4 linked regions of the Drosophila melanogaster genome follow. The protein of the gene in region 1 interacts with the protein of each later gene in a pairwise test. Each region holds a gene or a part of one and is shown in the gene's direction. Other genes may lie near its edges.

Region 1 (10,183 bases):
TATGCATGAGTTGAATGTTTAGTGAGTTCGCTTCAGAATGGAGGCTAATGAAAGGAAAACTTCCCCACTTTTCCAGCATCGATAACGAAGACTGGCGGGAGTGCGAAAAGAGCCTGAAGGAGTTCCTCGAACAGGAGCGTGCCAAAATGAAGGAGCGTTCGTTGCGCATATCCCAGCCCTACTCCTCGGATCCCCAGGATATACAGAATATAGTCAGGGCCAGGTGGGGATTATACATGTTAATATGATACTACTGCTGTGATATAATCAAATATGTTGCACATAATTAGGCAAAAGTTCCGGGAGACCGAGCTGCGTATTCGCAATCAGCTGGAGGACAAGCTAAAGGATGTCAAACTTGCGGTCACCACTCAACAACTAACCGAACTTATCGAGGATGCCCATCGTTCCAGCGGGGAGATCATTATGCCACAAGAACCTTCGATGGAGGACGATGACTTCCAGGGCGGCGCAGTGAACTCTAAATATCTGGACGATGCCACCGATGTCTCCGAGGAGACGGTGATCAGCGAGGATGCCATCAGCCTGACGCTGGCCAAGCAGCAGTACGCCGAGGAACTGGAGGCCGAAATGGAGGACGAGTTCAATCGAGGTCTGCTCATCTCCAAGCAGCAGTACGATCAGCTGCGCTTCGAGGATGAGAAGATCGTGGCGCTCAGAAATGCCAAGGTGAGTCCATCAAAATGTTCACATTAATTTATATTTTTATACTATTATTTTTCGATCAGGATATTCGCGAGCTGTATCAACTGGCCGAGGAGATCATCATGGGTGAGAACTACGTCGAGGCACCGGAGGAGTGCGAGGAGGAGGCGGTGGTGGAGGAGCCGGAACAAGATATCTCCTCCGATCACGAGGCCCAGGAGCCAGCCAAAGCCTAATGAGAAGCTATAGAATAAAACCATTTTTTACGTTCGGTGGACAGCGGCTGGTCGTTTATCCTGCTGCACCAGTTTTTAGCGAGTTCTACAATATTTGGCAAAATATTTGGTTTCCCATCCATGAGAGTCCAGATATTTCACCAAATCGTGCAAACATCAATTAGGCTGGGGTACCTACCACAGTTTGTTAGACGTCGGAAGAGGTAGCGCAATCGAAAAACGTTAGCTAAACTGTCACTCAATCTCAGCGTTTAGGTTGATAACTTGATAACTGTCAATGGGGTTTAATTAAAGCTGTAACGACTTGATTGTACCCGCATGACAACAAAAATAAAGCGGCCGAAAAATCCAAAAACAAACGCGTGAGTCAATTGCACATTTCACTCGCCAACGCCCGACAAGTATGCTACAAATATTTGCTCAGCGATACGGATATGCGTAACGGAAAGATATGCGGGCCAAATAGTGTTCTGAAAACCGAATCCTCGAAAGAAGATTACACGGAAAACTAATTTAGTAAATGATAAGGTCCGCTGAGTTTTCATGTGTATAATGATTTTTGGGTAATGATTTATTTTATTTATTTTTACAAATAAATGTATATGATGATATATATTAATTTCATTATAACTTCATAAGAAATATATTTATATATGACATATCAGGCTCTGTTTCCCGGAACACCAACCACAAATTTCAGAGTAATTAGCTGCGCTAATTTGTTTATCATTTTGTTTGGCACGTCGGCACATGGCGAGATTGCATGTGCCAAACCAGAAGGGCGTGACGCATTTGGATGAATCGGTGGCCATTTGGGTGGGTGGACTTCGGACTGATGCAACTTAAGTCGCACAATCCGCTTGCCATAAGGAGCGTAAAGTATGAAGAAGTGGAGGAGAGCGAACGAAATAAATAAAGACGACTATAAATAGCAGGTTCTGGCCAAAAATATGACTTTTGCCGCGCTACATGAGGAAGCCTCCATCCAGTGACACTTTCCCCTGCCCGCGAGCACTTAAACTTTTCAGCGGGCTATTATTGGTTTTCTCTGCGTAAGTGTCATCTTCTGTTGCCCCAGGCGATTTTCAAGAAAACCCTATATATGCTTATTTTCCCGGCCCGCCTTTTAGGCCAAAACAACACACAGTCACACACACATACATACACACACTCAAAACAATAACGAAAACATCGAAGGATCGTTTGGATTGCCCTCCATTACTAACGGCAATTTCACATTAAAGTGTCATCATTTTCAAGGCCTGCGGGCTGCGACGGTTGTTGACATCCGACTGGATGGATGTCCAGACCCTTCGATTCCTCCTCTGCGATTGCCGTGTTCCTTTTGGATTTGCAGTTCAACTGGGAGTCGGACGGAAAGGATGGACTATTGGCCGAGGCCATTGCCGTTTAAGTTTAGGCAGCAAATGTTTTAAATATACACATTAGCTATAAATATAAAATTTGATTATTTTTTAATAAACGCCAATAGAAGGTAAAAAAAAAACAGACATCAAACCCTTTCGAATTAAATTTTATGAGTTTACCACATTTAAATAGATTTTTTATCTTTTTCCAGTATTTATCAGCCTGACTGATAGGCTATATCATCATCGATCTATAAATATAATCGTTGCCTAATTCATAAGTGCAGCAATATGACAATACCATTTTGCACTGGAATATGACAATGCAATTACATTTAGGCGATTCGCTGGAAATTTTCAAATACATTTCCAAACTACCGGCCTGCAGGGATTTCCGCAGCGTCATGCTTGGCAGGTCCTTTGAGGAACTTTGAGACCTCCCACAGAAAGGCGAGATTCCGAGAAACGAGTGACCCGGACTATTCAGAATACGTTTCCGTAAACAGGGCCGTCAACAAAGGCTTCTATCCACCCCAACCCGCAGATAATTTATCACCTTGCCACGTGACGTCTTTTCGCGACTTGTTGTCTACTTTGCGGCGCATATCGTGATCCTGCTGAATAATTGCCACCGACATTATTCATTCGCGAATATCGCGCTAAACTTTTTAAATGTCCCCAAAATATTTCATTGATAAAAACGGCCGTGGCTTCGTTTTCCAAGGAGGAGTGGCCAGTAAAAGCTTGTTTGAAGCTTTTACGCAATTTTTGGCGCCTTTACATCGGCTCGTTGAAATCGACGCACTCGTCATCGGCCGACGATGGCAACGAATCGGTTTCAACTTCGGATGCGGCCTTATAAAAGGAAGCGGCTCCGCGAGTCAACCACGCAGTGTTCAACAAGTAGTAGGTGCAACAGTTGACAGTATTCCGATTCTGATTCCGATTCAGTAACTCAAACGGTTTCCAGGAATATATTTTAAAGTGAGTGTTAACGGTGTATTTCGAATATCAGTCACGCCAAACTCTTTAAGAAGTTTCCAAAAAATATCTTGTGGTCTGTGTTTAATTTAAGCCAGTCGATTTCATAAAAAGGATAACTAAACGTGACGTGAAATCTTAGTAATGCCGTCGCTTTCGTCATCGATTACAGTGTCGTCAATGAAACTCGAAATACGCGCCTAAAAAAATAAATAACAATTTGTGGACATATATTAAATATGCCAAATAAGAACAGGAGAACTCTTATATTTAAAACTATTAAGTGAATTCGTTCTTAATAATACAGAAATATTTTTAAGGCAAAGAAAAGCCAGCTAAAACTTAATTCATTAATTCAGTACTTTTTCTTTGGTAAATTATTTTAATCTGCTCTTATATTTTGAATTGTATCAGAAGATATTTAACACAAAACTACCTTTGGCTTAAAACTGAAAATTACCATAAAGATAGAGCCTAGCCATTGTAAGTTCTCTTCAAAAATAAAAGTAAAATTTTCTTATTTTATTTCACCAACGCTTTTTACAAGAAAACCCCATTTATATGATTAATTTTATATATTATACTAATCTTGTAAATGTTTAACTACAATAATTTATTTTTATTAATTTATTAAAGTTCAAGCTTTTTAAGCACAGAGCATCACAGCTGAACTAGTTAAATTTAAAAATTCATTTCATTGCACTGGTGAGCTTACAAATTTTGGGAAAATTGGTTTTAAGGTTACTCGGGACAGCAATCCATAAATACTTTATCAATGTCAATAACTCAAGGAATTCCCACCAATGCCAAACACAAATGTCAATAAACCAATGAAAATCTAGGAGAAACAAATAGAAAAAAGCATCAATATTTGTTGTCCCCGACCTCGTTCTCTGTTTCAAACCCCTTAAGTTCCACGTGCAAAAATTCCTGACAATCGTATAGAAATTTAAAAAAAAAAACTGAATCAATCGAAAGCATTCCAAAGCTGTTTTCATGTCACAAAAATTCAGCATCCCACAGGATTTTCTCCTGGAGAATGTATTTACTGAAATTGGTTGTGCTATTTCTTTAGACATAGCAACTGAAAAGTATATCTAGAGGTATTGACTTACATTCCGCAGGCTATACTTTTCATTAAAGATTAGTACACGATTTTGTAGTTGGCGAGGATTTAAAACTGCAAAAAAAATACTTATGAATTTCATGGAATTTTCTTGGCTAGCACCCTTTTTTTGATTTTTCGTAGCAATCATTGCCGTCTGTCTGGTCCTTTGGTTTGGCTCAAACACTTTGTGTAACCTTTTGTGTGCAAATTTTGACAAGTATCCCAGATGGTCGGATTCAATAAGTAGAAAAGTTATGTAATATCCTACCCAGGATTGTTACGCACGTAGACCGTGTCTAATTGGCCGGACTCCGGCGACAAAATGTCCGATGCACTTGACCAACTCCACATCCTTAGCCCTAATTAAGCAGTTTTTCCGCCACACATGTCCAGGTGGTACGTAGGCGAATATAGTGGCAGATAAGGCCTATGAAAATTCCTTTGGGTTCGTGTGCGTTTCGGTTACACTTCAACTCAATTTAGCAATTAGCTGTGCGGTTATTGCGAAAAGGAAAACAGGCGACGGGTAAAAATGAACGTACAATTATATATGGGTTCCTGAAACTTCCCTCGCTTCCAAGTTAATTTCATTTTACCTTGGGGACATCGCCAACCAGGGTGAATTCCCTTCTTTTGCTTTTTTTTTCCTATTTTTTGTTTTTTGGGCTCTGTCCACTTTTTGACACTGTGTCAACAAGTTAATTAAGGCATTTTAACAACGATTCGTGTTTGCTTTGTTTACTTATAATTCGTTCTCTCCGCAGCAATTTCGAATAAGTTGTGCTTTCCCAAAAATAACGCCAAAGTGTCGCCCACTTAAGTGAGTGCCAATAAAAGAGGAGTAATTGAAAAAGTTTTCTTGCAGGAAATGCCCGAAGAAATTGCAATTTATTTCCAAAATTAATACCAAAAAAAAACAGGAAAATCGCAATGCACTTAAAGACCTAAATCTACGAGAGAACATTGTTCGCAAATATTTTGACAAAGTTGCAAATTTTCAATTGAATTTAATCAAAACGTGACGAAAAGTGAAAAGAAAATCATCCACAGAGAATTTCTCTTTCTCCGAGCAATTTTAATGAACCAAATGCAACCGTCTTTATTTTTTTGAGAGGGCGTGACAGAGTTGATTTGCTTGATTGATTTATGTGGTTAACTAACCATATAAATTGAGCTAATTTCAATGTATTTATCTGTGAGGTAGAACAGATTTTCTGGAAAATATTTTAATAAAGATTAATATTATTAAATTATAGAATTATGTAATAAATTATAATTCCTTAAAAAAACAGACGCTTAAACTTTCGCAGCAAACAGCGCTTTAATTATTTACCAAGCCCTTAATTAAATAATGAACTTTGGATTTCTTGGTGAAAATTTTCACACTTTTTTGTCGAAATTTGTCTTAGGCATACATTATTTTCAGTTGCTTGGGCAGACAAATTAAGCCGATCCTAGACATCTCAACCAGCGAGACCGCAAGTGCCAAAAGTTTCAGGCAACTCATTTATATTGCTCGTCAAGCGAATGTTTTTTAAACGCAAAAAAATGCGATAAGGTTGGCGGGTTTCCCCAAAACCCCAACAACCAGGCTCCTGAGCTAAATGGGCTAAAAATACGCTGCGAAGGAGTTAAGCCCACTCGCTCACTTCGGCGACGTCCCATCCTTAATTAAATGAAACGACAAAGCGCACAGAGTGGGCCCAGTATGAACCGCGATGCAGTACCTGACATAAAAAATATTTATAAAAGCACACAAACACCTACTGCACAGTGGTGGAAATCTATGCGAAAAGTAATAGCATTCTTATCAATTTTAATTAGAAACATCTTTCGTTAAAATCTACAAGAATTATAGAGTAGCTTTCATTTGTCTATAAATAAATGGGATGTTAAAAATTAGGCAGTACTTTTTAATATTCGAATATTAATATAAATATATTATTTTTCTGATAGTTGAATTGTGTAATTTCTACTTTATAAACAACATACTGCATCCGTCTTTGTTATTAACTATTTGTCTGCAAAGTACACAACCTTTATATTTTTACCCAATTTTTAAATAACGGCCTTAGTTAGTGGAAAAGGAGTAGAATTTGTTTGCCCGTATGGCCCACGGTTCTTCGCGCGAAGAAAGATTAAGCAGGAGCGCAAAACAAAAGCCCCAGAATCAGCCGCCAAGTTATCCAAGAGACGCCCTTTTGACGTTTGGCACCCACCGCCCATTTCTCCAGTTTCCCTCGCGATTCTCCTACTTTTGGCGGGGGTTTCTTGGTTGCTTGCGTGTTTATCTGAGTATTGTTTGCTTGAGCACAAAGAGACGCCCACACGCACGGCATAATGGGGCGGATGGGGTAGGTATCCATCCCATGGCCGTGGTAGTGACGGTAATTACCCTCTTGTACAAACATCTACGCTTTTTTTTTTTTTGCCTTCCAGAGACATCCACATCGCCAACGACCCGCGCACTAATCCCGAGCTCATCCGCAGAGGCTGTATGAACATGAAGCCCGACATCCTAGCGCTCTGCATCCTGGCTACCACGATCCTGTGCAGCAGGACGCGTCACGTCGCCGGCTTCCTGACTGCACAGTCCACCGCCAGCGGAGGAGCAGGCGGAGCAAACGGTGCCAAAGTGGGTGACCATCAGGGCGTGGCGTCCGTACCACAACGTCTTCATTTGCCCGTTCTAGCGGTCGGGGGCGGACCCGTTCGCCAAGGACCCGCTCTGCCCGGCGATGTCCTGGATGCCCAGGAACGAGCTGTTTACGATCCCGGCGATGGTGAGTCATAAACATCCCTATTACCGCTTTCCTTGCCATGGTAAACTTCCCGGGCATCAGCTAATCCCCAGTCGAATTAAAAGGATAGCAACTGCATCCAAAGACCATTTCAATTAAATTGTTATCGGGTTCTTTTTGAATGCGAAGACGTAATCGTGGTCAAGGTGAATCCTATAACCAAGCTATTCCATCGCCCTATAAAAATATATAGACCTTATTTATATTAGCCAAATTAATAGGCATTCTGATCCATAAAGCTGAGGAACTGGAACTGAATCTGTTCAGGAACTTTAATAAATGAACTAGTTATTTTGTTGTCATTTAGCTATTTTTCTAAAATATTTTCAATATTTAATGGCAGTTATGGCCTCCTATTTACTCCTCACCTGAGTACATGATTACGTTCAAAATTTTTGCTTGCCGACTTTTAGGCGACCCATTCGAAAGGGGTGGACCAAGAGTTAGGGTGACCCATGGCGTGCACTTAGCCGTAACCGTCGCCCACCATCTCTATCCCTAATGGCCATGGTGACCACCGCTCGCTGAACATTTTCGGTCAGTGCACAATTTTTCAAGTGCCTCACATTGTTGACCATCGCACAATATGTGGAGCATGTGTTTGTTTGTGCTGAGCACTTAAAACGCCCACCAAACTGCCCGGGATAGATTTTCAAATTTGTTGACGAATTTGATTCGACGTTTGCGTTTTACGTTGCTACCACCTACCTTCTACCAACCGGCAATAAAATGTCATATCCGATTTTCAATAAGCGAACTTGTTTTCCAAGCGATTTGATAGATGGGTAAATGGATTGGAAATTTAACGAATATCGATTTGGTTTGAGTTGGTAACATTTGAATTTTTGGACATGATCTTATAAACATACATATATGAAACAAAAATTTAAATTTATTTCTGTTTCTGATCTCGAAACTATTTATTTCAATTGAGGAGTCCTTAAATTTAAAACTGTAAATGCTTTGGGTTCATGAGCGTCCGCTGTCTGCGGCTCTTTGAAGAGACATCGAGTGGACAGTGATGGGCAGACTGGATGCCAAATGCGACAAAAGGCAGTCAAGGAGTTGCAGTGCCTGTTGACTTGACTGACGGACGTGGTCGAAAAGCCGAGAAGGCTTCCCCTGCCGCGGAGGGGAAAAGGAATGCTGTGGCCATAAACTCATTGCCGCCAGTCAATTTCCGCCAGTCCATTGAAACGACCGAAGAGCCGGGGGAAAACATATTCCAGCCAACCAGGACAGACAGACAAACAAACTATTCAAACTTTCAAATATCAAACGGCGGAAGTTTCCGATGGCAAGGAGCAGGAGTCGGGGAATTAAGTGGGAGTGGGAGTGGAAGTGGGAATGGGAATGGCAATGGCGTGGTTGTGGTCGGATTAGCGACAGCTTGAATAAACATTCAAATCGCAAATAAGGTCTTTGGCTTGCTCATTTCACGGCAGAATTACTCCGCGCCCAGGAGCTCGGATTGGCAGTGGTTCCTCAAGGTCCCGACTACGCGGATGCGGTGTACAACGAACTCGAGCTGGCCAGCAAGTTCGAGGTGCTCAAGAAGATGGAGGAGGATTTGCGTGCCGAGCAGGAGCTGGTGGACAAATCCGCTTTGCTCATGAAAATGCTGGAGGTGAGTGCGAAGACAGGCTGTCGAAATTTCGATGAAAATGTTGAAAAATACACGGTAAATTAAATTTTTTTAAAATATTAAACATAAACATCAAAACATATTAGCTTTTGCTTATAAATAACTTTTTGAGTAATGCATACTTAAGTGATAATATTTTTAATTTTTATTAAAATTTTAACACAATTTTTTGATCTATGTGCATTTTTTCGCTCAGGATCCCTCATTGGAAACCTTGCCCTTGGTCTACGTGGAGGAGGAGGAGCCGGAGGCTGTGATTCCTTCCGGCGGAGCCGAGGACTACGCCGACTTGGAGAACGCCGTTCAGGATTTGGTTTTGGGCCAGAGCAAATCCAAGCGTTCGCGCTACTATCGAAGGTATCCATGGAAGCGTCACAACAAGAATCGCGGGTAGGTTGCTTTTCTATATTTAAACATTATTCACAATAATCCGAAAATCCACCAAGCACTATACTCAGCTCCATTGACCGCTAATTAATCGAACCCACTTTTCATTTGTAGTTAGTAAATGTTGTCAGTAGTCTTTATGCAGTATTAAGTAGCATATTTTTAGAGCTTAGAACGGAAATCCTAAAATTGCCAATTTCAATACGTCTGCTTGGGAATGGAAAGATTTAATTTAAAGTAAAAATGTGATAAATTCAATTGCAACGAATTGACGTAAATCAAAAGCATGAACCTCGAAAGAAAAAATGCAAAGAATGGCAATTTCAGGAGCATCCTTGCCAAAACGCCCACCCACCAAGTAGTCTATTGAATTTGAACAACTTAATGTAATGCATTTATCAGAGTCTCTTTAGGCCCGAAAGGCGCCCAGACACCAGACACCCAGAACTTCCCACCGCCCACTGAGAGATCGATTATTGATTACTGATTACTGATAGCCGAAGCGTGAACGATTTTGCTAACTACATAACCATTACCATTATCAGTTCTTACATGAATTCTATCAACAGCAACTATGAACCGGAATTGCGTTATGCCTGCACACCTAGTAAGGAGGATATATTCAAGCTGCTGGTCAATCTGCACGAGAATCGCAAGGGCAATCACAGCAAGACGGTTAACTTCTGCAATCGAAAGCGTCCGGCCAAGGCGGTCTTCACCAACATTAGGTTCCTGGGCTAAGGCACAGGATCTGGGATGGAAGCCATTAGCCCACACACACACAGACACAGACACGACACTGACAGACACATATGTATACCAAGCATCAATTGTACATTGCTGACAAAGTCGAGCGCTAAACTGGAGAACAACAAGCACTAACAATTAGCCTAACTAATTTACTAACTACTTAACTTAACCCGTCTAAAAGAGCTAAACGAGCTGAACTAAAAATACTTCGTTATCTCACTAGGGCTAGAGACCCTTGTAAG
Region 2 (8,061 bases), 4.3 Mb from region 1:
CAGCCCGACGTTTTATTGATCAACAATTGTAAACGATTTGCCATGGCCCATGGCAATCTGGGTGGGTCAGGACGAGTCGGGCCAACTCGGAGTCCATGTCCAGGTAGTTATCGAAAAAATGCTGCGGCTTAACGCAGCCCACGCCCACTCTACGACAAAAAGTGGGCGGAAAGCTGAGGGCCTTTCCCGATCTCCGGGCGATTAACCCTTGCTCTTGGTAGCAGTTTAGCCGGGCTAATTGAAGGCATTAGTTGTTTGTGGGTCGCGAGCTGGCTTCCCCGGAACTCCATTGTCCTTAAATTAGCATCTCTCATAGCATATATACCTTCGATCGCAATTGGTGGAAACTTCGCGCCTCTGCCCACAAACGTTTGGTTTTGGCACTCCAACCACATGACATTCGTCATGCACTCAGCGAAAATACTTAGCAAATGTTGTTCATGCAAAGAAATATTCATATTCTGTATAATTATTGCTTAAGAATATATATTTTTCAGTACCTAAATGTATAAGAATGAAGAAGCTATAAATTAAATAATAAATAGTTAGTTAGTTGAAAGGGATTATCTTCCTGTGTATTGGGACGTCACAGAGTCTGGCTGAATTTTCGCCGATCATGTAGGAAGTGTCCCAGGGGCAAAAAGGGGAGCCCCTGCCACATACACCCACTTTCGAGAAACTCATTAGCCTGGGGCACAACAAACCCGGCAACTCGGGGCACAAACAAACCAATCCCGAGCCCAATCGACTGCTAAACGCTGTCGGCACACATCTGAGAGACGGCGACGGAGGCCAACAAATTGATCATTAAACAGAAGGCGCAAATGTAGGCGCAACCCATCGTTGTCCAACAGAAGATCGTAGCATCGGAGCATCAGGTCGAGATCAAACACCTGGGCCCTCGACCTGGCGAAGAAAGTGACGAGGCTGCGACGTCAACAAGATTAATTTGTTTTCCGGCCGGGTTCCATCTCCATCCAGAGTCACAGAGCCACATCCACATCCATATTTCCCAACTCAGCCGGCAACCTGTTGTCCAGTTCCCCGATTTGTAATTGCCCTGCTTTGTGGTAGTCGATCAGGTTCGATCGCGGATCGATCATATACTCTACTATAATGGACAAACTCGATGGATGGCGAAAGAACATCATTAGTTTTCTCGGCGTAGAGTCCACAAAGTAGGTGGCGTTTTTCTCACATCCCGAGTGTTTCTATGGAATCTCGATTTGGAGATGTTGGATCTTCTCTTCGGCGGCGTTTGTCCATTAGCCACGGTTTGCATCGGATATATGCGAATTTAAATAAAATCATTCAATTGTTTCATTAATCACTGGCTACGGTCGGCGTTTTCTATTAAAAAAAATGCATTGCCAATGGAAAAATTGACTGCAGAGACCGTGATTATTTATACATTAGTGGGAAAGAATCTTCAGTTTTATGCGAAGAGCTTAAAAAGTTTCTCATGATGTCCTACTTAGAAGTGGTTTTATGTTTTAGCAATCTATAATTTCTATGAAACTTAATTGGGAGTAATTCCTAACCACTGTAATAAAAACTATTTGACCTGAGGAAGCCAAAAGCAGCTCTTGAGCCACCAAATCGATTGGGAAACATAAAACATATATGTGCTGCAGTTCACGATAAAAAAAAAGCAGGGCATGGCGAATTGGGAGGCTGCAACCGAAACGCACACTTAATTTCCGCTTAATCAAACAGAACAGCGACTGGGGGGGCACAGACAGAGCAACCCACATCATCTGGAGTCGGCTACCCTTCGACCCAATCCTCTAGAGGAAAACGTATGGCAGACGCAAGGGCTCATTTGCATGGCCACTTTGATGGAGAGCGATGGGTGTCGGAGCATGAAGAGCTCGCCCCATTGCGCAATGGTTGATGGTGGATGTTGTATGTTGGATGGTGGATGTGGGTGTCTTGTCTTTCGGGAAGCTGCCAGCAGTTGACTTCTCCAGTTCTTCTTTTCGGGGCAGGATTTCAAAGGAAAAGTGAGCGTTTTCCAGGAATGACTGGGAGCCTTGTAATCGCAATTACCATGGCCAAAATATCAAAAGATAATGCCATCCTGGCCAGACACAAAAATATGTCGAAACATATATAAATATCTTATATTTTGTGATACTTGAATGATTAATACAAGGTGTACTAAAGCTACAAGTTATTTTGAATGTAATGTAACATTCAGATTTCTAGAATCAGAGTTTAATTTAATTAGTATAATTTTTTTATTTTAAAGAACTTTTATTCCTTTTATATTACATATATATTACATATATTTAGTGTCTTAATTTATTTACTCCTTTATATATACTTATTATTTACACTTTATTACCATAGCCACACGACACCAGCCACAATATAAATAATGTGTCTATAAAGTCGCAATCATCGTCATTACCGAACAATCGCGAAATCCATTATATCCTGTTCAGTGCATCGTAAAATCGAGCATCTTTCGCTGGAAGGATGCGGAAATGTTGAAAAAAATAGCGATGCGATCAGCGAGCGTGAAATCGCAGTCAGCATATGAAAAGGATGTACAGGATCGTATCCTGGCAAAGTTCCTGCAAAAAGGAAGGGAAGTGTAGATGCTTGTGAAGACGCTGATGGGCATTTTATGACGGTTGGAATCCTTCCTCTTCTGGGGAAATAGAGCTGGAGATTCAGGTAAATTCAGCTAGTCTAGCAAACCGATTATATCGGAATAAACAACTTTATGACGCGCCTGTTGGTGCCTTAAAAATTATGTCAAAAAAGAGCGAGTTTCTTGGTTTATTGGGATCGGGTGTGAGTGTGACCCAAAAACCATTGTTTTGGCCAACGAAGGGGTTTTTACGTTTTCGACTTTTGTTTTGACTTTTTGACGGTTGTCTTGACTTTTTGAACTGAACTGCTTGGGTTCTAAGAAATTTGAAGTTGAACTATATACTCTGATGTTCGCAGCGAATAGAGAATGAAATTTTTCCCTAAAAAGAGAGTTATGGTTTTTAGGGAAATTTTTGATGTTATATGTATGCATATTCTGTAAATGGATTACAGCCCATAAAAAGTCAAATTACCCTGTTTCTGTAGGAAATGTAAGAGTTTCAGGCGGTTTGTTCCACCCTAAGCCGCAAAATAAAACACCAAATTATGCATTATTTCAGTCGAAGCTCCGCCCATGCTGACATTTTCAGAGAACCGACTGACCGAAGAAAACTCCGCCCCAATAGTGGAAATAGAGGAAAAAACACAAATTTACCACAATACTTCGCTGCGTGGGCGTACCGAATCGAAGATTCGTTTTGCTCTTCTGGTAAACCGTGCGGTTAAAGTCGCAAAGAGCACAGCCCATCCCAGCCCAGCCATTTGACCATATGAGCGGAATTGAGGAAACCAAGCGGGGTTCCTCCGCAGCGGTGACCTTCGGGCGGGAGTGGACCTAGAGCTGGACGCCCTACTGCAAAATCCATGTGTCCCGTCCATGGGTGTGACGTTCTGGTTTCGGAATTGGTCGCGCATCAGCGTCGCGCCGTGACCTTGATGGTTTTGCGACCCCTCCCTCACCACTCAGTATGTGCGGTTTGGGCTCTGGTCGCAGTTTGGTCGCCGATCTCCGTCCGCGCACAGCGAGGTGCCATTCCCGGGGAGATTGGCTGAGAGTTTCGCAGAAGATGCGTAAATATTTTGGGTGATTATTTTAGATAATCTTCGACTAATGTCCTTGGTTTGTCTCTCAAGACAGGAGGGATATTGAGGTGCTTCGAATTTAAGTTTATTAGTCTGATGTAGGCCTAGATTTAAATATGTACACTATTATATTGTAGATGGGTGTACTGATGACTTGTTGTTGTAAGACATATAATTTTCTAAATCAAAACTCGAAATTTTCATTGACAATAAATATATGTTATATGAATTAAATGGCTAGACATTTTCACACTTATGTGTAGTCCACAATAATAATGCATTCCAGATTATTTCGAAATAGGTATTCTGAACTTGTTTTGAACTTTATATAATAGTAACAAATAAGAATTCTTAATTTAAGGAATATATTTACTAAAAATTAAACAAAATATAGCTATTTTTCTTAAAAAAAACATTAAATGCATTTAAAAGTTGTTTAAGTAATATGAATTTTGTCTAAGCCCTAACCGAAACTGAAATCTTAAAATTAAAACCAACAATTATATAGAAAAGTTAATTTTTAAATTTTTTTCTTATCATTTCGCATCCTTTTAAAAAGCCGTTACGAATGCGGTCGCACTAAGATGTGAGTCAGTGTAGCCACACCTGTTCAGCTGACTGCGGTATGCACCAGCAGCAGATGAACGGTCCCACTGATTGATTCAGTCAGTCTTTATTTTTTACCATTTCCCACCCACCACGAAATCAAGGAAAAGCATCCCGAAATTGCACAATGTCCGAAGAAAAGAAGAATGGCGATGAATTAAACGACTTGCTGGACAGTGAGTACAGCCCGGAAATGCCTTTGGCGATCCCTTCTCGACCCCTTACATAATGCGCACTGCGTCGTCCACTTTTCGCACAGGTGCTCTCCAGGATTTCGATAAAAGTGGTGCCGGTGACCAAAAGGAGCCGTCCGCATCATCGGATGTGGCGACCAACGCTGGACCTGAGGGCTCCGAGGATCCAGATGCGTTTTTCATGTGAGTCAATGCGCCAGTGCAACGCGGCACTTGAACTTTGTATTCTGACCTGTTATCCGCCTTCAGTGAGCAGGCCAAGGTGCTGGCCGATCGCATGAACACGCTCTTCGGAGGTCCGGACACGCCCAGTGGCGATATTCCGCCGCTGCCCCAGGATCCCGACCAGATCATGGCCGGTTTCAAAAAGATGGCCGAAGCGGCAGCGCTCACCTTGAGCGGCGAAAATTCGGCCACCGACGAGGATGTCTCCAAGTATTCTGATAGCATTTCCCAGGCTCTCAAGGGTCTGCAAGAGGGCTCCGAGAACCTGGCTGCTCCCGCCTCGGAGAACGACATAGCCAGCATGTTTGGTTCACTGAATCTTGAAGGGGTATGCATCCTGAAAATGAAATATGAATTCTCCTTGCTCAATCATTAAACAATCCCCGTTTGACAGGCTGGCGAGGGTGATGGAAACATGTTCCTACCATTCATGGAGGGCATGATGCAGAGCCTGCTCTCGGCGGAGATTCTGTTGCCCAGCATCCGGGAGCTGCTGGAGAAGTACCCCAAGTACCTCGAGGAGAACGACGCCAAGCTCTCCGCTGAGGACAAGGAAAGGTATGCTCGAAATCAACTCGCAATAAGATACTTTTATTGAGAAACCAATACATACAGGTACCAGAAGCAGATGGAGCTGTACAAGGTGATTGAGGGGCATTTACAGAGCGAGAAGACCGAGGATTCGGCCGCCGTGAAGCGAGAGAAGTTCCGCGTCGTGCTGGACGACATGCGCAAACTGCAAGACTACGGCCAGCCGCCGCCAGAGATTCTGGCCGAGACGGGCGGCGACTTGCCCTTCGGCGATCCCACTGCCGGCGTAGCAGCCGGCGGTCCCGGTCCCCAGTGCCCAACCATGTAGTGGCTGACGGAGCACGATAGTCTCGTGGTGTGCCAATTGGTTAACTGTTGAGTGTTGCACATTTTTTAGGCTAAGGCAAATTTGTATTTTATTTTATCACCGACAAAACAATACGGCGGTCGCTAATGGTTATCACCTCTCTCTTCAATCAAGCTATTATTTTCGTATTAACTGTTGGTTTATTAAGTAGTTCTATACCTAAATACAATGCCTCGAAATACACCTAGAGGAAGAAGCGACGTCGCGACTCCATGGCGTGCCGTTTGTTGCTGATTATCCAGGCATAGTCACCGGTCTTGCTGTCGAATGTGCCCTCCTGCAGGGAACGTAGTTTCAGGGTGAACCGCGGCCCCAGTTCGCGCAGCTTTACGCGTTTTCCCTCTTTGGTGAACTCGTAGCGGTGGTGACGGAAGAATATGTAATCTCGCTGATTGTGGAACGTCACCGCTCGGCGGCCGCGGAACTCGGGATCGTGATGGAAGAGGGCACCCAGCATGCGGCCCACGGTCAGACCCAAACGTGTGGTAAAATTGTTCAGGATCACTTCGGGCCTGTGCTTGGTTATCTCCTTGTGATCGCGCTTTATGTCCGAGGTGAGCTTCACGTTGGACAGCTTGAAGTGGGCAGTGGGACCATTGGGCAGATGAATGACCAGCAGCCCATTGGGCTTTCTGCGATCTTCGTTAACGATCACGACGTCTGTGAACTCCTCGCGCTCGGCGCTTTTGCATATCTTCTTCACCGACGACTTGTTGCGAATCTTAACCAGGGCGTTGGGGAATATGCGCGAAAGCTCCAGTCCAAACTTACGCGTCTTGGTCACCGGATTGTCAGCAAAAGTGATCAGCACCTTTGGCTCGTACGAACGTTCGAAGTACGAGCTGAAATCGTCCAGTTGGAGTTCCTTTTGCAACTCCTCGTTGTCGGAATCGTTCAGATTGGCCACCTCTGTTTGGTCCTTCTCTCGCAGGCTCTCTATGGTGTGACCAGGATTGGCGGGTACACCAGCCTTCCGTCGGGCACGGCGCTCCTGCATTTTTTTCTTGTGCTTCTCCTTCTTCATTTTTTTGTACAACGCCAAACGCTGCTCCTTGTTGCGCATCCAGCTGAGGGGATTCAAAACAGGAATTCGTGTCTTCTTGTCGTCGTCGTCGTCATCATCCTCTTCTTCGTCGTCGTCGTCATTCTCCTCCTCATCGTCGTCATCATCCTCTTCCTTTAAATCCTCACTGGCTTCCCCTTGTTTGGCCGTTTTTTTGCTGCTGGAGGCGGCTTCTTCATCGCTGCTATCAGTGACTGGCCCCTCCTGGACTTCCAAATCCTGTGGCTCCTCCTCGTCAAAGCTGGAATCGCTGTCCGAGTCCTGTTCCACGGGCGGAGGGGCTGTTTTTCGCTTAATTTTTATCATTATTCCGAGAGAATCACGAATTCACAAAAATGCGAGCGGCACGTGTTGATATTCTTCTTCTTATACCAATCACACGGAAACGCAGACAATCTGCTGTGTGGGGCAGTGTTGGAAAACGTGCCACTCACAACGTGTAGTTTGTAAACAAAAATATATTTAATTAAAATGGTATTTCGGGTCTTAGAACTATTTAGTGGCATTGGCGGCATGCATTATGCCTTTAATTGTGAGTTCGTCGATCATGATACATGCGAAACTAATATATACTTTTGAAGATGCCCAATTGGATGGACAAATAGTTGCCGCCTTGGATGTCAACACCGTGGCCAATGCGGTTTATGCGCACAATTACGGCAGTAATTTGGTGAAAACTAGGAATATTCAAAGCCTGAGTGTAAAGGAAGTCACAAAGCTTCAGGCCAACATGCTGCTGATGTCCCCGCCATGTCAGCCCCACACTCGCCAGGGATTGCAAAGGGACACGGAAGACAAGCGATCGGATGCACTTACTCATCTGTGTGGACTGATCCCAGAGTGCCAGGAACTGGAGTACATACTCATGGAAAACGTCAAGGGTTTCGAGAGCTCACAGGCGCGAAATCAGTTTATTGAATCGCTGGAGCGGTCGGGATTCCATTGGCGGGAGTTTATTCTAACGCCAACGCAATTCAATGTGCCAAATACTCGATATCGCTACTATTGCATCGCCCGCAAGGGTGCAGACTTTCCATTTGCCGGTGGAAAGATCTGGGAAGAAATGCCGGGTGCTATAGCCCAGAATCAGGGTCTTTCACAAATTGCCGAGATTGTGGAGGAAAATGTATCACCCGATTTCCTGGTGCCCGACGATGTCTTGACCAAAAGAGTGCTGGTCATGGACATAATACATCCTGCTCAAAGTAGATCCATGTGCTTTACAAAGGGCTACACCCATTACACCGAGGGCACGGGCTCTGCATACACACCGCTTTCGGAGGACGAATCCCACCGCATCTTCGAGTTGGTCAAGGAAATTGACACAAGTAATCAGGATGCATCGAAGTCGGAGAAGATTTTGCAGCAACGCTTGGACCTGTTGCACCAGG
Region 3 (7,293 bases), on another chromosome or scaffold:
AGACCTTGGTGTCGGCGGTTTTGGCCTACTATGCGGGAAAGGGCCATCGGCCAAGATGGATTGGTTTTGGTAAGTTATATAGAAGGATATATATAATAATCGGAGGTTAACGTATAATTATCCTTTTATTACTGCGCAGGTCTTCTTACCATCGTATTTTTCTGCATTCTGACCACCGCACCGCACTTTCTCTACGGACCCGGCGAGGATGCACTTGCTCTGACCTCGGAGTTCGGCGGGATGCCCGATGAAAATGCCACAATGGAGGCTATCGAGGAGCAGCGATCCAAGACCCTATGCCGCTTGAATGGAGGAGGAGCGGAGTGCGAGGTCGGTGAAGGAAACTTTGCGCCCCAACTTTTGCTCTTCGTAGCGCAGTTCATATCTGGAATTGGAGGATCGCTATACTACACGTTGGGAGTGTCCTACATGGACGATAATACTAAAAAATCCAAAACTCCGGCTTTGTTGAGTGAGTAGCGCTAAACCAGTATTAACCAACCGGAATAGGAACTTACACAGCAATGATAGAGCAGGCGGCTAATCCCCTGTATCTAAACAGTTTTAGCCTCTAAGTGTTTACTAAGATTACATAAAGTTTTCGTAATCTTCCGAGGAAGTGCCGAATCATTAGGGCTGACTCAGTTTCTCATGGATTATGAGGTATAATAAAATGTTTCGAGGGAACATTTAAAAACGATGCATTGTTAGATACTTTTCGATATATAAAAAAATATATTTTACTCAGGCTTTCATACTTCAATAGAGGTCTATGTTTAACATAAGATAATAATATGATCTGTTTACAGACTTTGAAAAAATATTTTATTAGCGCCAGACAAACTAATGATGAACGTTTTGTGTTACTAACCTCAAAGATACGCTTATCTCGAAGAAGATAGCCATAATTTAATCACACATGAAAATGACTTCAGTAGAGGCTTTGAAAATTGCAATATTCTTTGCATCTATTTTAAGGTCTTTCATACTTTTTGCGCATGTTGGGTCCTGCCATTGGATACGCCCTGGCATCCTTCTGCCTGCGCCTGTATATCGCACCACAAATGCATCCGGTGATCAACAACAAGGATCCCCGCTGGCTGGGCGCCTGGTGGCTGGGCTGGCTGGTGATGGGCGGCCTGCTCTCCTTCTCGGGAGTTTTCCTCTCCATGTTTCCCAAAGAATTGCCCAGAGCAGTGGCCCGCCGGAAGGTGGAGGAGAATCGACGACGCGAAAAGGAACGACTGTCGGTGAAGAGTACGGAGAAGGAACGCCTTACTGCGGAACTGGATCAGAAGACTACCGCGGAAGCGAAGGCCTCCTTCCAGGACATGCTGAAAACCTTTCGTCGCCTGATCACCAACAAGACCTACATGTGCAATACACTCTCGAGCATTTTCTACCTAGTGGGCTATACGCCGTACTGGATATTCACGCCCAAGTACATCGAGGTTCAGTATCGCCAGTCAGCGGCCACTTCATCCATGGTCACCGGCACAGTGGCCCTGGCCTTCTCCGCCGTGGGAGTGCTGCTCTCCGGTTTTATCATCTCTCGCTATAAGCCGAGGGCTCGCTATATGGCCGCTTGGAACGTGATTGTGGGCTTCCTCACAGTTGCCGGAATCCTGGCCTACGCCTTCATCGGCTGTCCGGGAAATGAGAGTTCCGTGATCGTCAATATTCACGACAGCTCGTTAGCTGGCAACACTACCACATGCAATTCGGCCTGCTCCTGTGACTACGTCCGCTATTCCCCGGTATGCGGGGAGAACAACATGACCTACATCTCCGCCTGCCACGCTGGGTGCAAAAAGTTGCTCGTCAACTCCGAAGGAAAAAAGGTAAGTATTTACTTTGTTTAGCAAATTTTAGAAAAATGAAGCAGCAATTTTTTTTTGTTAGATCTTCTACGATTGCTCCTGCATTCCTAGCGATGATGCTGGTAATTCCACGAGCCAATTTAAGCGCCTAACCAGCTTCGATTTGAGTAACGATGAGGTTAGCCAGAACACCTCGGTTCATAGTCAGTTGGAGGCTCTAGCGAATGGACAGGCAATGCCCGGCGCATGTCCCGTAAATTGTTGGACACAATTTGTGGCCTTTTTGGCCGTGATGTGTTGCCTGAAGTTCGTGGGAGCCAGCGGCAGAGCCTCGAACTTCCTGGTTTCCGTGCGCTGTGTGCCGGAAAAGGACAAGACGGCGGCCATGGGATTCGGAATGACTCTGTGCTCGATGCTGGCCTTTATTCCTAGTCCTATATTCTTTGGCTGGGTTTTCGATAGGGTCTGTTTGGTGTGGGGCAAGACCTGCACAAATAAGGGAAACTGCTGGCTCTACGATCCGCTTTCCATGAGGTGAGCTTTAATATATAATGCTTAAATATCTATCTATAAAACTCGTTTCTTTAGGTACACTCTCAACTTCACCGCAGCTGTCTTTATTGCCATTGGAGCCATTTTCGATCTGGGGGTCTGGTACTACGCAAAGGATCTGAAAATCTTCGACGAGGACGTCAAGGAGGTGGAGATGAAGATCGTTCAGCACGAGGAGGAGGCCAACAACGAAAAGAATACAGAGATTTAGTCCTAAGTTATTATTACTCCTAAGTGCTGTGTGAGTGAGAGTCTTGGTGCCTTGATTTGTCAATATCCATGTGTGATTTCCAACGTAGAGTCCAGTACCATAATAAACGGTATTGCAACAGTAGAGCTCTGTGTACTCATATGGTAATTGCTGACAATTAACGACCAGATCCCGATTAGTAAGATAAAGCTCAGACGGACTTAGCTATAAACATGAAGGCCGCTATTCGCTATCTAGAAGCTTATTTTGTTTACCCCCAGAGGCAAGTTAATTGTATGCAGCTTGCAGCTGAGTTTGGGATTCAGTCTTTGGCAGTAGTTCGACAGTGGACGACCATCATGGCCAGTGAAGAGATCGAAGCCTCCAAGTTTCTGAAGGATAAAGAAGCCGGCATAAATGTGGCTGATGATGAAAAGAGGTTGAATTCTTCGGATACAACATGTGGCTTCTCAATTTTCAGGGGCCCCGCCTTACAGAGGTATATTATTCAGTGCTCTCTTTCGAGTTTCTTGTGATACCATCTAGATCTTTAGATTTGCGACTGCTCACATGTTCGTGATTGTGTACGGGATAGCTAGTTGCTTTCTGGCCATGGCCTTTACCTATTTCACTGGAACCATCACAACGATGGAGAAGCGCTTTAATATACCCACCAAGATATCGGGTCTCATTACGGTGGGCAATGATATAAGCACGGTTTTCTCGTCCGCCTTTCTGAGTTACTACGCTAGTCGAGGACATCGTCCACGCTGGGTTGCATTGGGTAACACACCTGAAATCACCGAATTGACTTCAGATAGCCAATCCTTTGCACTGTTTTAGGTCTCATCATTATAGCCATTTTCTGCCTGCTCATGTTGACCCCTCACATTTTCTACGGACCCGGCGAAGAAGCTTTGCGGCTGACAGAAGAATACGGAATGTCCGAATCCTTCGGTGCTTCTCTAAATATCACCGAAAAGAACGACTCACTGTGCCATGAAAAAAACTCAAATTGTCTAGAAAGAGCTGGGGACTACACGCCCATCGTGCTGTTCTTCATTGCCCAGTTCATAGGTGGAATCGGGTGTTCCCTCTTCTACGCGCCAGGTCTCTCGTACATGGATGATAACTCCGCAAGTTCCAAGACCCCAGCAATGCTAAGTATGGGATGGGTATGGGGATCTTTATTTTATTTTCACTTCCATTGTATATTTTGTAAAGGCTGGAGCTCCTTTCTGCGTATGCTGGGTCCTGCTATGGGCTTCTCCATGGTATCCTTGTGCCTCCGGCTGTATATCGATCCCTTCAAAAAGCCACTGATTACCACAAACGATCCGCGCTGGATGGGCGCTTGGTGGATAGGTTGGATTCTCCTCACATTCATCCTGACTATCTCAGCAGTGTTCGTGGGCATGTTCCCCAAAGAAATGCCAAGGGCCAAGGCCAGACGCTTGAAAGCAGATGGCGAGGAGGATATTCCGCTGGCTGGACGCTCCTTTCAGGATATGCTGGACTCGCTGAAACGATTGGCCTCGAACAAGGTGTATGTCTACAACATGCTGGCCTCTATTCTGTACTTGTTTGGCTACATGCCGTACTGGATATTCACCCCGAAATACATTGAGATCCAGTACAGGCAATCGGCATCAACTTCCACAATGGCCACAGGAACCTGGGCGTTGGGATTCTCTGCCGCAGGAATTTTGATCTCTGGATATGTGATCTCCAAGTACAAGCCAAGTGCCCGGGCAATGGCTGCGTGGAACTTCGTGGTGGATTACTTGACGGTGGCTGGCATGCTGTGTTATGTACTGGTGGGCTGCGACGAGAGTGATCGGGCCAATTCCCTGTCCATCGTGCCCACCGGTGACAGCTGCAGTGCCTCATGTGTCTGCGAGTATGTGTACTATGCTCCGGTTTGCAGTCCGGAAAATATTACCTTCATATCTGCCTGCCACGCGGGGTGTACCGATAAGGCCATAAATGAGCTGGGAAAGACTATATACACAGGTTGTCGGTGCATGGGCAACGTTTCTAGCATAATCTCTCTGTCTAATGTGACGTCTTTGGCATCCCAGTCTCAGATCGCCATGGATGGAGCCTGTCCGGTGGACTGCAACAAACAGTTCCTTATCTTCTTGGCCGTCATGTGCTTCCTTAAGTTCGTGGGCGCCACTGGGAGATCGAGTAATCTGTTATTAGCCCTGAGATGCGTTCCCTCGAAGGACAAAACCTTCTCCTTAGGTTTCGGCAGTATGGTGTACTCCGTGCTGGCCTTCATTCCCAGTCCCATTGTGTTTGGTTGGATGCTGGACAGCTATTGTCTTGTATGGGGAAAGACCTGCAGCTCCAAGGGTAACTGCTGGATATACGATACGAAGTCTCTCAGGTGAGTAGATCCCTAATGAAAAAGTGTAGAAGAAGTTAAGGCCATCTTTCCTTCAGATACACCATGAACCTCGTGTGCGCCTCTCTGATTTTCCTGGGCAGCTTTTGGAATATTGGGGTCTGGTATCATGCGAAGGACATGAAAGTCTTCGATGAAGACGAAAAAACGGTGCAGGCCAAACAGAGCGACGATATAGAGCTGAAGGAAAAGCCAAATGATGTTGTTACTAAAAAGAAATAAAAGCTTTCATACAAATTTTCTTTTTCTTTTTATCTATGTACATATGGGTACGTAACCCGCAGGTGGTAAAATGTTTGAGCGAGAATTTCGCACGTTTCCAAAATAGATACGAAAGAATGATAAGGAATCCCGTCAATTAAATGTTCTTAAAGTATATTTTCCATGTGTGGTATATAAATGTCGCTCGTCTGATCCCCACTGTCTAATCTGACAGACTTGATAAGATCTAAGGCTGTTTACCCATGCGATGCAGTTGGGTATATTGTTGAGCGATTTGATTAAGAGCGAGTCAGTGTGTTCGAGTTGTTCGCAGGTAAAAGTTGAGACATGACAGAGGAGCGAGGAAAGGTAGACTTGGAGAAAAGTGAAACTTTGCCCTTTATTGAAAAGCCATTTGCAATATCGGATAAAGAAAGGGAATCTGCTCCAGAGAATGAAACGGAAGGAGAAGATGGTGGAAAAGACACTTATTGCGGTTTCTGGATATTCAAGGGCCCCTCCATGCAAAGGTAAGCTCTAAGGTACTCTACAACTACCTTCATGCTTAGGAATCACTCTCTCCAGATTTGCCACTGAGCATATGTACGTTATTCTATATGGACTAGCTGGCTGTGTTATGACAATGACCTTTGCGTACTTTAACGGGACTATAACGACCTTGGAGAAGCGCTATAAGATACCAACAAAGGTATCCGGCATTATTTCGGTTGGTAACGATATCAGTACCATGCTAACGGCCGCAATCCTGGGTTATTATGCGGGCCATAGGCATCGACCTCGCTGGATGGGTATAGGTGAGTCCAGATCTGTGTCACTTGATTTGCAATACATATAGTGTCCCATTTAGGGTTGCTTACCATCGTGGCCTTTTGTCTGCTTACAAGCTCCCTGCATTTCCTTTATGGAGCTGGAGAAGATGCACTCCAGCTAACCCGAGAATTTGGACAGGTTAACGAAACATTGACGAATCAGGAGCGGGATAAGAAGTTGTGCCAACCAACTGCAGGAGGATGTGTGCAGGAGGAGGTTGGTCTGTGGGTGCCCCAAGTGTTTCTGTTTGCTGCTCAACTAATCTCGGGAGTGGGTCAGGCTCTGTTCTATACCCTGGGCATAGCCTACATGGACGACAATACCAGCAAGGCCAAGACACCTGCCATGCTGAGTAAGTGAAGGACTGTACGAGTATGAATTCCTTGAGGTATCCCAAGCATTATCACTTCACCAGGCATGTCTACCTTCCTAAGGATGCTGGGTCCAGCCATTGGTTACTCCCTAGCTGCTGTCTGCCTGCGCCTATACATTGAGCCCACCTTGGAGCCACTGATTGGGCAGGAAGATCCACGCTGGTTGGGCGCCTGGTGGCTGGGCTGGCTGGTCCTGGCTGCAATTACCTTGGTCTCCGCCATTCTGCTGTTTATGTTCCCCAAGCAGCTGCCCAGTGCCAGGAAGAGACGCCTTCAACTGAAACAGGATGAAAGGAAACAGTCACTGCCACTGAATGAGCGATCCCTTGCCGACATGATGAAGACAGTCAAGAAACTCTCGAAAAACAAGGTGTATGTCTACAACACAATGGCATCCATACTCTACTTCTTTGGCTACATGGTCTACTGGATATTCACTCCCAAGTACATCGAAACCCAGTATAGACAATCAGCGGCCATGGCAACCATGGCAACGGGAACAGTGGCTCTGGGATTCTCTGCCGCAGGAATCCTCATCTCGGGATACGTGATCTCCAAATACAAGCCTAGTGCCAGGGCAATGGCTGCCTGGAACGCCATTGTGGACTTTGTGACGGTGGCCGGAATCCTGTGCTATGTGGCAATTGGATGCGAGGGTAGCGACAGGTTGAATACCCTGACCACCCTGTCTGCCGGGAACAGCTGCAGTGCCTCTTGTCACTGTGACTACGTGCACTATGCTCCCGTTTGCAGTGCGGACAACATCACCTTCATCTCCGCCTGCCATGCGGGATGTTCGGAAAGGACGAAGGATGCATTGGGAAGGACCATTTACACAGGTTGCGAGTGCCTGGGCTCTTCAAGTTTGAACTCTGAACCAGAGGTGGGGGACTCTAGCCATTGGTTATTCCTTTT
Region 4 (6,378 bases), about 11 Mb from region 1:
GAGAGGATGTTTTCGTAACCTTTGGGGCTACCGCTTTCGGAAGGTGCTTAGGTGCATCCTCTGGTTGCCTTTTCAGAGTTTCCTTCTGTACCTTACGAACATCCTCTTGTGGTTCCACGCGAACATCCAGCTGCCCATCCTGCCTCTGTTCGTCTTTGGGCTGGTCCTTCGGTTTTAAGTCCGGCTTGGGAACTTCCAACTGATTCTTTATTGCATTATGATCAACGATGGCATCTTCCTGATGCGGCTGCTGCTTGGGTACTTCTGGGGACTCGGGGACTGATTCATGTTCCTTATCCTTTTTCTTAAAAGCCACCCACTTCGGGAGAATCGGCGCTTCTAATGCATCTACCATTGGCTCAGGCTTTAGTTGCAACAACTTTTCAGTTATCCGATTCTGATTTCCTTCTTTCCTTATCTCTGCCTGTGTCGAAGACTTCTGCTGGTGATTGGGAGTTGAATGGGCCGAAGGCGCACAGGTCTTCTCCTCCGTCGGGTCCAATTCCAAAAGGTAATTCTGAAAGAGTAAAGGATTGCTCGATATATTCTTTTAATTAAATAATAACATTAAACATACCTGATTCTGCCAGAGCTCTTCCTCAGTTCTGGCGTTTACATCCGCATCGCTATGCATCCACGGATAATCATCCTCTTCACTGTCATCGTCTTTATCACTATTCTCGTCATCTTCGTCGTCCTCGTCATCATCCTCCTCGATATGGCCGTTGGCATCCACGGACTGTCCATGCTCCTCCATATCAACCAGCTCTTCGGTGACCACTTCCATTTCAATTGATTCCAAAGCATCATGAAAGATATCGCCTCCAACGACTTCCTCGGTGTGCACTTCTTGCATATGCAGATGATCTTCCTCAGCGACCAGTTGGTCCTCTTCCTGAGATATTTGCTCCTTATGTGCCTCCATCTCGTGCTCCTCTGCTACTTCCGTTTGCTCGTGGATGTGGTGCTCGAAGTCCTGATTCATGCGCTGGAGAATAAACGTGCTCACCTTTTTACCGTTGAATTCACCGCGGCCTTTGCTCTCCGAGCGTTTGCTGGCTGGCTGATTCGTTACCGCTCCAGCGTGATGGTCCAGAGCGGGAGACTCCTTCATGTTGATACCCCTGGGAAGTGCATTCGCGAATTGAGGCTGCGCATCTATCGTTTGTGTGCCCTGTTCCCGCTCCCGAAACACAGTTTGCGTCTCAGCATGACAACGTATCAACTTCTGCTGCGGGGCAGCAGGTGGCAGTGGGGGATCATCGTCGTCGTCGTCATTGTCGTTCCTTCGCTGGTTCTTTCGCCGCAGCTGTTTGCATAGTTCCTGGTTGGCGGCCTCCAACTGAGCAACGGCCTGCTTTAATTCCTCATTCTGCGCCTTCACCACGCTCATCTTAGCGCTTTGGTCGTCCAGCTCCTTGTCCTTGGCCGCTATGCTGTCCGTCTGCTCCTGCATCAGGTTTAAGTTCAACATAACCATGCGCCTCAGGTTGTTGTTCTCCGAGATGAGCTTGACCATATCGGCGCCGGCACACACGGTTCCGCCGGAGGAAGGAGGAGCCATGGCTCCGCCACCATGCTCAGCTGGCAGCGAATGCAAAAGCTTTCGGTAGTTGTTATTACCCCCGCCATGTCCTCCACGACCATTGCCATATTGCTGGCGCTCATAGATCTTCCCGGGATGCTGATGAAGATGCTGCGTCTGATTGGGATGGCCGTGCAGATTCCTTTGGCGGCCACGCGACGGTATGTGGGGATAGGGCGATTCCAAGTAGTTGGCCCGCTTTTTGGGCGGCCACTTGAATCGCTTGTCCATGGCAGTCGAATTGAATCCCGTGCCGTCGGTCCTACGATCTCATAATTCTCCAAATGTTTTTGTTTTGTTTTGGTTTTGTTTGCGTCGCTTGGGGTGCACACAATCTCTTCAGCTGATACGCCGTACAATGCGTAGAATCCCGATTACAATTTCGCACCACACTAAATTTTCCTTGCTCGCCCTCGCAAAAGAACCGCTCTTTTCTTGGCCAGAATCTAATGGATTTATCGTTTTAAACGTGGCGTTCTTATCGCACGTGGTGACCGCATTTAGGCAGCAGTTTTTCGGTTCGTTTTTGAACGTTCTTTCACCGCTTTTTCCACAATTGTCCTCACAATGTAAAGTCGCCCCGAAAATGCTCTTAAAAGTATGGCGTTTTGCTGGCGTTGCCACTTTTCGCCAAAGCGCAGAGTTGATTGGGGGCATAGAGATGGCAATTTGCTGCGATGCACGAGCTGAGCACGACAGTCACGAAGTGAAAATATTTTCACGAAACTGTACTTTGTTGCACATAATAGCTAATAGCTAAGTTAACACGAGCCGACGAACTAGTACAGTTGGCTTAGTGTATGAAACATAATATCAAAGTGCTGAGACAGCATTGGGCCGGAGTCTTTGTTAGCTTTAAGAATCATTTTAAGTTTCAGCTTAAATTTGCAGTTACCAGAATAAAGAGCGGCAGCTCGTCAACTCCGACTAAATGTCGTTAAACACATTTTTATTTCTTACTCTGCCAGACCACAAGGATAGCAGTTAAAAGAGGACAGTTTCTCTCAACGTAAATAATAATCTTCCGTTGCTCCCCGGATAATTATTTTCAATTTTTATGTGGTATGAGTAATTGGAATGAGAAAATAGATGAAAAAGAAACTAGCTAGCTAATAATGTATTGATTTTATTTTATTTTTTTTGGTAATTTTATTACATTACCAACTCCTTTTAAATATTTCACTAAATTTAAATAACTACAATCTTTGGATGAATTATCCTTCCTTGTATAATGGTATAAATATAATAGAATAACAAAAACTCGTGACGCCAATGTGTCGCTTAGTGATAAAAAAAACGTGTCACGCTGCCATCTCTTATGTCTGCTGCCACCAATGCAAAAGCCGGGTTGGCTGTACAAATTACCTTTAGTGCCACCCACTAATGAAAATATGTCTAAGCAAATCAAAATAGCCTTTGGGAAAGACCAAATAGTTATGTAATCGGAAAATTAAAAGAACAAAGAGCTGTTCAGTTGGCAGCCCCCTGTGACTTATGCAAGCGTCGCCTGTGAATGGTAGATAGAGAAGAAGAACAAAAATTGGCGCCAAAATTTTGTTAGATTGTTTATTTGGTATTTAAGTTTCGGCCACTAGTTCTATGGCATCCCTGTTCGGAGATGATGGTGTGGATGACCTATTCAATGACAACATTCCGACTGACCCGGATCAGCTGCCCAGCGATGGCGAAGGCGAAAAGCTGTTTGCGGACGACGAGGACAACGGCGTAGAACCTGGTAGCCAGGATGCCCAGATAGTGGAGCCTAAGAAGCGAGCTGTGAGAAATCCCCGACCGCGACTCACTGTGGAAACACTTCGAGGTCCTCGTGGCATCCAGACCATCGAAGATTATTTTAAGGACATCAAATTCAAGGGCAAGGGTTACGAGAAAACCGATCTCGACGAGGTGCTTCGCCGCCTGCAGCACTGGGGCCATCGTATGTATCCCACCTACACCTTTGACGATGTGCTTAACAATATCGAACGGCTGGGCAAGAAGAAACCCCTCCAAGTGCACATGGCGCGATATCGACTCGGTCAGCTGGAGCAGATGCGCGCCCACGAAGCGGAGGCCCTGGAGGAGGCGCAGGATGAGCAACAGGAAGGTGCCGGCGATGAACCCTTTGATGAGTTCGACGCCCTGCTAGGTGAACAGATTGCCATGTCCAGGCTGGCGCCTCCCAGCCCGCAGCAGTGGAAAATGTCTACTGCTTCCAGTAACAGCACGCTGGCTACTCCGTCATTCTCCCGCGGCAATGCTGTAATGTCCACGCCGTACTCCGGTGTAAATGCGACCTTCGACAGAAGTGGAGCTTCTGTGGCTCCGGCCTTCGATCGGAATGGAGCTCCGTTGGCATCGATGGACATCAGCGACTATGGTCAGCCGCTGCCTCCCTCACAGCCTCCCACGCCGGCGGCTAAGAAATTATCCAACGAACAGATGGCCAGGATTGCGGAAAACCGCAGGCTGGCGCAGGAGCGACTTAAGGCCAAGCAGCAGCAGGAGAGCGGAAGTAAAAGTTAGTGTATATTTATGATATAAAAACGCATATTTTTATAATTTTCAAAGGATAATTTATAAAAATAAATGAATAAGCTACGTTGAAAGTTAATGCGCGGTACTTAATATCTAAATTGATTTTTCTGTACTTCGATCTTTGATGAATATCACTTTAAATATACCCTTAATCGTATTAAAACCACTCGCATTAGTGTTACACATGTATCTTTATTCAAACGTTTTAGTCGGAGACCGAGAATAATAAGTTAGGATTCGGGTGTAAAAAACTATATGGAGTGCTGGAGTATTTACAAAGATGAATGGTCATGATGGTGAGGGTTCGTGTAGAAAATACTTTACAAGTCTTTAAAGACTAGTCGGGATACTATTAGGGTACTGGTGTTTAGTGGGACTTGGCCCATCCTAAGTGCTAAATCTGAGGGCGACTCTGGGCAGCGATTCGAACAGACCCTTGGCTCCCTCCAACAGAGCAGCTACGATCTTGACAAGCACTACATCTTGATTCGAAGTGCTTTGTGACTGGCCATCCTGATCTTTGGGATCTGATCGTTCCTTAATGGCCTCGCGGATCACGTGCAATAATCTCTGATACAGAAACGATTGCCTGTAAATGGGCTTGGAGAGACTCAAGTGATCATCCTTCAGCAGATAGAAGTCCCCGAAATCTATCTTAGAGGACTCTTCGGTGACAATGCGCAGGGGGAACTTGAACGAGGTCAACATGGTAGGGGATCCTTCAGCTACACTGACCACCTTTACATGGCGCAGTAGCGTGTGCAAGCACCCCATAAAGCGGCGGTGCATCTCCAGCAGCTTCGGCGAGTTCTCTTCCATCTCTTTGACCTCGATTGATGGAGACAGGATCATCTGCATGTGCTGCTTCCACTTGGCAATTGGTGAGCCCCGGTGTGGGGTTCCCAAAAATACAATGCCTTTAGTGTTCTTGGTCAGCTGTTGGACCTTCGGCTCTTGGGAGTCCAGGGATTTTAGCAGTATTAGCTTGGTCAGCAGGCCGCCCATGGAATGTCCTATCCACACGATCGGACGATCGTTGCCCACATCCGACGCTGAAATCCTGTCGAGCAGTGTGTTGGCTCTCACATCAATGTGACCCTGACCCTTTTCACACGGACAGTATTTGGTAAAATTGGCAGACCACTCTGTGACTGCTGATGTGTAATCTATGCCCAGAATTCTGGAATCTGGATAATCATCTGGCAGCCACTCCATGGGCCAGCAGTTGGTGTACTCCTCACTTGTGTCCTGGTTCCGCCATTCGCTTCCGCACACACTAAATTTTCCTTCGCACTCCTCGTTGGCATTAAGAGGAACATCGGGATGGACCACTTCCCAATCCGAGTCCAACTCGGCTTCGTTTCTCAGTGTCTCCACGAACTCCTTGGTGGCAGCATCGCTAATGTTCAGACGCTGTTCCTCCACTTTTTTGCTAGCTTTCAAGACAGGATCTAGAGTTGGAAGTAAATTGTGAATTAGTCAAAAACAAACGGTAATATAAGTACTCTTATTTACCTTTGATTGTTTCTGTCTTTTGGTTGCCATTGACATTTTTGACCGCCTCGCCGGGTTTTAGTTTGCCTCCACTGAGTCTCTTCTGCTCACCCACCAGAAATACGTCGTCTGTTTCGCTGGTATAGAAGGCGTTTTTTCCGTAGAGACCCAGCTCAGTGGGCTTTCTATCTCGCTGACGCCAGGTGATAAAAACACCTCCCAGCAATCCATGGACGAAAACAATGTCTGCCTTTGGCTTCCTGCGGGTGCGAACTCGTGGATGCAGGGGATAGACATTTGGCGGATACGTGCACTGGTTCGGATCGTCGTGATCCAGATTGGCCATAGTTTTAGCCGAGATCACCTGCAGGCGGAGATCTGGGCATTGTTGCCACTCGGCCAGGGCGCCCACCCATCCGGACGTAAAGAAATGTTCCACGGCATCGGGCACCAGGGACATATTGGCCAACACTTTGCACAAAGTCGATAAGGTCTCGTTGTCGTCGTTGAATATTTTTCGTAGCTCCATGAGATGCACGAGGCCTCCGTCCCTCATAAGCCTGGCGGAGACCTCGGGATCCTTTGTAATATGGTGCAGGAATGAAATGATTTCTTTTAGTAAGTCCGTGTCGGCTGTGGAAAGGACTATTGTCTGCTCCTGGGTCAAGTATTCGTGAATGTCCTCCTGCAGGAAAACAAGATTGATTTAGTATCATGCAAAATGTGGTTATTAAGTTCAGCTTACAATGGGATCCTGTTCGGGA

Evidence for each region.
Region 2: the proteins of CG7191 (region 1) and Pex19 interact in a two-hybrid assay, tested with the Drosophila melanogaster proteins (one large-scale study listed by BioGRID).
Region 3: the proteins of CG7191 (region 1) and Oatp58Db interact in a two-hybrid assay, tested with the Drosophila melanogaster proteins (one large-scale study listed by BioGRID).
Region 4: the proteins of CG7191 (region 1) and CG10336 interact in a two-hybrid assay, tested with the Drosophila melanogaster proteins (one large-scale study listed by BioGRID).

What each region holds. Positions count from the first base shown.
Region 1 is NT_033779.5:7,764,465-7,774,647, forward strand, and holds the start of CG7191 (uncharacterized protein), read left to right. Parts: upstream 1-3,163; 5' UTR 3,164-3,253; intron 3,254-6,797; 5' UTR 6,798-6,855; coding exon 6,856-7,141; intron 7,142-8,604; coding exon 8,605-8,786; intron 8,787-9,000; coding exon 9,001-9,194; intron 9,195-9,736; coding exon 9,737-9,932; 3' UTR 9,933-10,183. Other genes in the region: CG46025 (uncharacterized protein), read left to right, coding at 77-223, 291-690, 750-902.
Region 2 is NT_033779.5:12,089,445-12,097,505, forward strand, and holds Pex19 (peroxin 19), read left to right. Parts: upstream 1-2,377; 5' UTR 2,378-2,682; exon of another isoform or gene 2,683-2,914; intron 2,915-4,243; 5' UTR 4,244-4,417; coding exon 4,418-4,466; intron 4,467-4,549; coding exon 4,550-4,667; intron 4,668-4,733; coding exon 4,734-5,037; intron 5,038-5,103; coding exon 5,104-5,267; intron 5,268-5,324; coding exon 5,325-5,568; 3' UTR 5,569-5,791; downstream 5,792-8,061. Other genes in the region: CG6712 (uncharacterized protein), read right to left, coding at 5,792-6,976; Mt2 (methyltransferase 2), read left to right, coding at 7,142-7,202, 7,252-8,061.
Region 3 is NT_033778.4:22,219,093-22,226,385, reverse strand, and holds Oatp58Db (organic anion transporting polypeptide 58Db), read left to right. Parts: upstream 1-2,886; 5' UTR 2,887-2,921; coding exon 2,922-3,061; intron 3,062-3,116; coding exon 3,117-3,346; intron 3,347-3,405; coding exon 3,406-3,726; intron 3,727-3,786; coding exon 3,787-4,954; intron 4,955-5,010; coding exon 5,011-5,194; 3' UTR 5,195-5,206; downstream 5,207-7,293. Other genes in the region: Oatp58Dc (organic anion transporting polypeptide 58Dc), read left to right, coding at 1-69, 140-472, 979-1,841, 1,903-2,354, 2,409-2,583; Oatp58Da (organic anion transporting polypeptide 58Da), read left to right, coding at 5,522-5,703, 5,759-5,988, 6,042-6,356, 6,420-7,261.
Region 4 is NT_033779.5:18,686,610-18,692,987, forward strand, and holds CG10336 (uncharacterized protein), read left to right. Parts: upstream 1-2,918; 5' UTR 2,919-3,101; exon of another isoform or gene 3,102-3,167; 5' UTR 3,168-3,184; coding exon 3,185-4,108; 3' UTR 4,109-4,297; downstream 4,298-6,378. Other genes in the region: msl-1 (male-specific lethal 1), read right to left, coding at 1-517, 578-1,816; CG10383 (uncharacterized protein), read right to left, coding at 4,508-5,571, 5,636-6,299, 6,360-6,378. UniProt on the Drosophila melanogaster protein: Required for normal progression of S-phase. Important for cell survival after DNA damage or replication stress.